2 linked regions of the Struthio camelus genome follow. The protein of the gene in region 1 interacts with the protein of each later gene in a biochemical or structural test. Links are inferred from orthologs where the notes say so. Each region holds a gene or a part of one and is shown on either strand. Other genes may lie near its edges.

Region 1 (3,750 bases):
GCTGCGAGGGGGGCTCAGCCCGGGCGGGGGGCTTCTCGCCCCGGCCTCTGCGGCCCGCACCGAGCGCACGAGCTCCCGCTGCTGCACCGAGCCGGCTCCCCCGCCGCTGGGGCACGGCCTTGCTCTTGCCCCGGCCCCCCGGGGCCAGAGGCAGCGGTGGGCGCTCGCCCGTCTGCCGGCCGCGAGGGCGAGACCTTGCGCCCACCTAGCGGCCTGCACTGCCTCCCTCACCTGATTTAGCCCCCAAAAGAGCCAGTCTTGCTCAAGTTGCGCGGCCCTGCGGAGCGGCCGTCGGCAGGCCGCGGCAAGGACCGCCGGGCAGCCCCACGTCGCCGCGTCGGACAACGCTAGCCACGAGCCGGGACCGGCGAGGAGGACGCTGCTGCAGCCGGAGGCCGGGAGCGGAGCCGCGGGGCTGGACCCCCCTGGGGCTGGAGGGAGCACAAAACCCTCCCGCCCGACCCCTCGCAGCGCGGCAGGGTGGAAACCACCTCGCGTCCCCAGAAGCGCCCGCTGCCAACGCGAGGTGTGGGGGGCTGCGGGGGGCTCGGCTGGCTCCCTCCTGGCTGTGCACCGGCGCGCTGGTAGGTTCACGCCAGCACCCCACACGTGCCGTGGGACCCCACGTGTGCTGTGCCATGGGGCGCACGGCACACTGGCACCTCACACGTGCCGGGGAGCGCTGGGAGCCCACGTGGGTTGCTGGGTGCGGGGTGCGCTGGGACCTCAAGCACACCGCGCTGTGGGGAGCATGGCACTCCGGGGACCCCACAAGCGCTGCAGAGCGCACAGCACGCTGGGACCCCATGCGAGCCGTGCCGTGGGGTGCACGGCACACCTGGGAGCCTGGGAGTGCCGTGGGGTGCGCGGCACGCTGGGACGCCCGAGCGCTGCGCCGTGGGGTGCGCGGCCCTCCTGGGACACCGGGCAGGCGGCGCGGTGCGTGGCTCACCAGGACCCCACGCGCGTCGGAGCAGGGGGTGCTAAAGCCAAAGCCTGCAGTTTCCCTTTCTCCCCTTTGTGCGGCGGCGGCGCGGGGCTGCGGGGCCCGGCGCGGAGCAGCGGAGCAGCGCAGCCGCCGGCACCGCGAGGGGGCCGCGCTCCGCCGGCGCGGCCGCCCCTTCCCTGCCCCCGCGCCCGCCTCCTGGCCGCCGGCCGCCGCGGCGGGCGGGCATGGGGCGCGGCGGGCGGCGCTGAGCGCGGCGGCGGCGGCGGCGCTCCGGGCGCTCCCGCTCCCTTTTGTTCGGCGGCTCCGCGGCGGCGGCGGGCGCTAATGGCGGCCGGGCCGGGCAGCGGCCCCGGCGCGCCCAGCGAGGCCGAGGCGGCGCACCTCTGCCGCAGCCTGGAGGTGGGCACCGTCATGACCCTCTTCTACTCCAAGAAATCCCAGCGGCCCGAGAGGAAAACTTTCCAGGTGAAGCTGGAGACGCGGCAGGTCACCTGGAGCCGCGGCTCCGAGAAGCTCGAGGGCGCCGGTGAGTGGGGGAACAACGGCGGCGGCGGCGGGGGGAGAGGTTTCCTGGTTCGCCCGTGCCGGGGCCGGGGCCGGGGCCCGCCTTGCCCTGCGCTGTCCTGCCCCGGCGGGGACCCGGGCGGGGCGGCCCGGGGGGGGCGCGGGAGCGGGCGAGCGCCGGGCCCGGCCCCGCCGGTGCTGCCGGGACGCGGCGGGTGGAAACTTCCCGCACCGTCCTCGGTGCCGTGCACCGCCGGCTGCCGCGGAGGAGCCGGCACCTCTGCCCCGGGTAAGGCGCACCGGGAGGAGGCAACAGCGGCCGTGTGAGCCCCGTGGGGGTTACACCTCAGAGCAACGGATGAAATTAAACAAACAGCCCCCCTCCCCCCCAAAAAAACAAAAAACCCAAAGAAACCCAACGCCAGAAAGTGCACCGAAACGCCCCGTAAGGTCAGCGCTGCCTCCTGCCCTCGCCCCTTTGTGCCGCCGTGAAGGCTGATGCGGGGTCAGGGCTGGCGTGGCGGGTCCAGGCCCGTCTGCGGCCATGTGTGCGGAGCTGCTTGCTGGCTTCGGCTTCCCGTGGGCGACGTGGTTCTTTAGCACGAGGAGGGTAGGAGAAAAGACTCATAAGAAACGTGAGTATAAAACCACAAAGACGGGTGGGAAGGGAGAGAGAGAAGGGAGGCCCCACACCAGGAGACTTCTAACCTCTTGCTTTGGTTTCCTAGCTTACTGCTGTTTCTTTTAAGTTACCTTTTGCACCCCCATGCGCACCAGTCTGAGGACACTGTCTCTAGTTTGGCTCTGGAGGAGAGGAAGAGCTGACACGCACAAAGATGAGGTGACGTAAATCCTGGTGCCGTCACTGTCGTGCGTTAGCACCATCCCGCGCGTTAAGGGATGTGACTGAGGCACAGTGCAGCTTCGATGGAGGTTGTCGTCTGTCCTCTGCTAACTTCTGCTGGCCCAGGGTGGAAAGGCTGGAAATATTTAATGTTACCAGAGGGCTCAGATGAAGAGAGGACGTGGAAATGATGGACACAGTTCTTTAGCAGGACCTCAAATGCTAGTGTGTCCAATCTGGGGCTTTCGTTTGCTTCAAAACCCTTGGAGTCTTCCAGCTTCTCCCCAACAGCTCCTCCAGGCGGATCTGGAGGACGCCTAGGTTTCCCAGCCCCATTAACATCGTGGGATGTTAAGTTCCTCCATACCTTTCTCAGGGTGGCCTCTAGGAGCTTTCAGGCAGTGGGAGAAAGAGGGAGGAGCCTGAGGCATGGCTTGCCCTGGATTTAAGTCACTTTTAAAATATGGAAAAGCATTAGCTTGCTGGCAAGATGCTGCATTTTGTGGCAGTGGGGGACCAGGGCCTGTGAGGGAAGAACCCCTGGAGGGGCTCTGGTACCTGCTGCCCTGTACACGGGTGATTATTCCCATGTGCAGATGTAAATGTTGAAAACTTAATTTTAGAGAAACCTAGAGAACTTTAACTTCTTGCACCAAAACTGTAGTAGTAACAATGCTTATAATGTCTTGCCGGTGAGGACTTACTGTGCTGTGCATAGGGTGAAGACCAGACCAGTAAAAGCAGAGAACAAGTTCCAGGGACCGAGGTAATCAAAAAAAGGCAATCCATGTGTTTCTAGCAAATGAAAAATAAGAGTCAGTGGTCACTGAACACCTCGTTCCCTTATGTCCCTTTAAACATCGTAGCAGAAAGTTGTTGGTGAGTTGGCCCTGGTGGCCTTGTGCTCATGGTCCCCAGCATGTTCCTCACATCCCATGTTGAGCGCAGCCCTCCCAAGGCGTGTGTTTTCTGACATGTCGAGATGGGTGGTACTATAGCAATAAGATGTCACCGTAAAGAGGTTTCTTCCTCCCCAAGCTGTCTCTGATGCCAGATGCACTAATGCCCAGCAAAGCAACTTTGTTGTCGTTGGCAAATTCTACACATGGCCTCTTCTCTGCACCTACCTCCTCTCACCTTAGCTGTTGGCCTTAGTTCCCTCCTCCTCCCAGCACCCAGAAGAAAGGGTGTCCTGTTGCCCAGCAATCCCGAACACTTGGCCAGTTTCCCCATTTTCATCTGAATGTGCTTTCTGGGTGTAAAAAGGATGCCTGGGAGACCCCGGATGTATAGATTCATAAGAAATGTGGCAATTATGTGTTCCACGTATGGCGTTTTATATGACAAATGCATTGACTTATTTCTCTCCTGGCTCATCCCACTCTTGAAATCTACCCTTGATTGGCACAGGGCCCACTTGGCCATGGTCTGATCCAGGGTAAAGAGTCTGAGC
Region 2 (3,750 bases), on another chromosome or scaffold:
CACAGAGATTGTCCTTGGAACCCGCATACTTTAAAAGCCCAGCACTTGCTGGCCCCCTCTATACAGTGCAGCGAGCGAGCCTGAGTCACTGAGGCCAGCGAGCACAGAGCAGCCGATGCCATGCTGCTTGGCCCCCTCGCCTCCTGAGTGAGGTGGCCACAAGCAGATGGTCTACTGACAACGGCCCATGGTCTATGCTAATGCCTGCCGTCCCCACGAATTGTCTGAGCAGAGCCAAAACTGTGCCAGGGCCTGTGCTGGAAGAGTCCTGGTACACACCATTAATTTCTATGCCTGCAAATGCTCCCTGGTCCTGTTTGGTTTGCTAGGATGGACATAGCCAGCGTGTCAGGCAAATACAATCATTTTCCCGTCACGGGCCGCAAGGCTGTGAACATGGTTGCTCAGGATTCACTCAGTTCTTAGCATGAGACACGACAGCGATTCCACGGCCTGCCTTAAGCTTTCCTCTCCAGAACAGGGATGACCAGACTGCATGGAGGCCTGACCAGGATGATCTGTTTTGTGGGAAATACACTGAAGAGCCTGAGGACTGGTTCTGGGAGCATGTAAAAGCGCAAATACTCTTTCCACATTTGGTACTAAGTTCTTCTGTTAATGTAATGACCTGATTTTGATAGTTTGTATCAACACAAAATCAATGTTTCATGGAACATCGGCCCTGAAGTTATAGACATACCCACAGTCACTCAAATGTTTGTATGTGCCTAAAGTCATATTAGTGTGTTCATACATATGTATGTCTATACATATGTAATGCGTGTAAGTTTATAACAGATAACATATGAGATAGAGTAGATAGTGCACCAAGTCCTCATCTGGTCCAACTTTGCATAGATCTATTTTGATGCCTCTGGACTTACAGCATTTTAAATCACTTAAAGATCTGGTCCTCTATGGTCTGATTTTGGACATCAAATTTTCAGAAGTTCCTAAGTTCCTAACCTACATAAATAAATAAATAAGTAAATAAAAAGGTATTTGCCAGCTGTCGTTCACCATGAATTCAGATTTTGAATGTGTAGTGTACCAATGTGCCTTTGCAAGCTTTTTAAATATTTGTGTTGGGGCAGTCTGAATATATCCCACAATGGCCTACTTGACATTCAGGAAGGCTAGGGGATAACATTTCCCAAGATGCTCATGTAACATATGAAATCTAAGCCCCACTGAAAGTCACTAAGTCAGATTTTCCAAACTACTTATGTGTCTAAAAATGCAGGCAGACACCTGTGCAATTCCGCAAAAGTACTTAGGCAGGATAAATGCTGAATTCCTCTCAAATCCATCAGGATTCAGAAAGTACCAAAAAACCCTAGGTATTAAGATTCCTCTAAATACGTACAGCTGAATCACTTAGATGTTTTTGAAAATTTTACCCAGCATAATCGAGTAGAATGGTTAGAATCCAAAATCTTAAAATAATAACATCTGAAAGATAGTCTGGATAGCAGCCACAGAGAGTCTGAAACTAAATACAGAAAAACAAGGCAGCAATAAATGTTTTCCTATTTAAATATGGAGGTATGGAAAAGCACCATCTATAAAATAAAAGCAAGTAAAACATTTGCTGAACATATTTGAGAGAAGTAACTTGCAAGTAATAATGACTATTAACCCTTAAGACAGGTATCCAACCTCAACTGGGCAATGATATGATACAAGGGCTCATCGTAATTTGCTTTCCTTGTTGGTTTCAGTTTTAAATTAATTTTCTATGTCTGTGAGCAATGTCTGATGATCTCAAGTTGCCAAAGCCAGACAGCAAGGCAACACGGTCCCCAGTACTTGCTTGTGTAAGGTAACATCACTTAAACATAATGGATTAATCGCATATTCAGCAATTATTGGAAAACAAGCTGTATGATTTACAACTGTCTAATGAGGCCCAGAAAACATCCAGCTAAATATAGGAAGAGGGGAATAATTCTTACTTCACTAGCATAGCTAGCACAATGGGGTGTGCAGACTGGCTTCTAATTTTCTTCATATTTAGCAAATCAGAGAAATGAAAGCTGAAAAAATGACTAGTCTGAGCATGTATCTCATCATCACATTCCTTTTTAAGCTAAATCCAAAGGCTAGACCTGTTAAGCATGGCAGCTGAATTTATCTAAAAATGTAAGACCTAGCAGCCACCAGTTTGTTACCCTAAAGAAAGATGAGAGAGTAAAGACAGGGGCTGATTTTTTTTCCCAGATGTAATTAGGGTACATAGCGCAGAACACTTGTGATCGCTGCAATGTGCCGCTGCAGGTCACTCCTGTACCAACGCAAACAGCCAGGCGCAGACCCACTCGGCTGTTACATATATCGGTTGTGACAGCCCACTGTAAATTCCTACAACAAAACTAGATCTTTTCTGTAAAACAGCTAGGTAGTCTTATTCCCCCATTCACACCAGATGCCCATTGACCAGTAGTTTTGAATGACCAGTTTGACCACTTTGCAATTTTCAGCAAATGGTGCTGTAATAAGGACTAGAAATACGAAGTTGATAATGCTTAACGGAGAGTTCATCCTTCCTTCCATTGCTGTATTATGTGAGAGAAAATGGCTGACATACCCCATGGCGATGTTCATAGTAAGCCAACTTGGACTGGGTTAAGACAAAGAAGCGCACTTTGAAGTTGGAGGGAGACGTCCTTCTCTTCTGCTGGGATTTTTTGATGAGCTGTTCCTCCAGGAGCACACAGTTATTCATTGCTGAGCCAAGAACAGTCCTCTCCCAGGACATGGGATGCCTGCCCTACGCGCTGAGCACCCGTCCAAGACAGAGAAACAAGAAGGAAGACAGTTAATTTTTTTAACAAAAAAGGTGTTCATAAGGCAGCGTAGGTGCTTTGAGCTTTATCTTCCCATCTACAGCAGGCTTCCTTTCTGTCAAACCATAACCACATCCTCTCTGAAGTCATAAACCGAACAGCACATGCTGAAATATCCTCTAAGGTAAATGTTGTGGAAAAAATAACACTTCAGCGACATTCAACAGATGTGAGTCAATGATCAAGGATTAATAAAGAGGTGTGGCATGATTAAGCATCTGTCTCCTACTTGTCCATCCAGTAAATACAGTTATAAATGCATACACTGAACTTGAATGTATAGGAGAAGTGTCTTTCCTGTCCTCTTAGAAGTAGGTCACACATCCTTTTTTGTTTTTTTTACGAAAAAAAGTATTTTGAGGAAATTTCTTACATAACATGAAAGTTCCTAATATGTAAGCAAAGGCAAAAAGGCAGTTCAAAGCAATTAAACCTACTACCCATATAAAAAATCATATCCATTATATATTTTTACAAGGAAGGATAAATACTTACAGTTGTTAGATATTTAATCTGATAGCAAACAGTTATAATAACTGATAACTAATTAGTTATTATCAGTTACTGTTTACTGATTGCTGTCTGCTTCATAGGCACTCTAATTAGTCCAGAGCTGAATGCTGCGAGAAACACAGGCACAACATACACTCTGTGTAATCAAGATCCCTGTCATCAGCAGCAAAGTGAGCAGAAATACCAAAATAAGTGCAATACGTTTCCTCAGGACTTCACTGCACCATTCTGGACAGCCTGCAGCAGCTTAATTTTAGAATTTTAAAACATGTAAATATTTTAAATATTTTAAAAAAACTCAGTAAAAAAACCATTTGTTTTAAAACAAATGCAATAGATTTTCCTCTGTTCTTGCATTTTTAATATTTTGTGCATTATTTTATCAGTGATG

The links.
Region 2: the proteins of PLCG1 (region 1) and ITK form a complex in vitro, tested with the Homo sapiens proteins (2 studies listed by BioGRID, with this or other methods). The link is inferred for Struthio camelus from reciprocal best matches to the Homo sapiens genes PLCG1 and ITK.

What each region holds. Positions count from the first base shown.
Region 1 is NC_090959.1:7,247,807-7,251,556, forward strand, and holds the start of PLCG1 (1-phosphatidylinositol 4,5-bisphosphate phosphodiesterase gamma-1), read left to right. Parts: upstream 1-1,186; 5' UTR 1,187-1,273; coding exon 1,274-1,475; intron 1,476-1,982; exon of another isoform or gene 1,983-1,997; coding exon of another isoform or gene 1,998-2,088; intron 2,089-3,750. UniProt on the Homo sapiens protein: Mediates the production of the second messenger molecules diacylglycerol (DAG) and inositol 1,4,5-trisphosphate (IP3). Plays an important role in the regulation of intracellular signaling cascades.
Region 2 is NC_090954.1:11,276,947-11,280,696, forward strand, and holds the start of ITK (tyrosine-protein kinase ITK/TSK), read right to left. Parts: upstream 2,826-3,750; 5' UTR 2,759-2,825; coding exon 2,588-2,758; intron 1-2,587. UniProt on the Homo sapiens protein: Tyrosine kinase that plays an essential role in regulation of the adaptive immune response. Regulates the development, function and differentiation of conventional T-cells and nonconventional NKT-cells.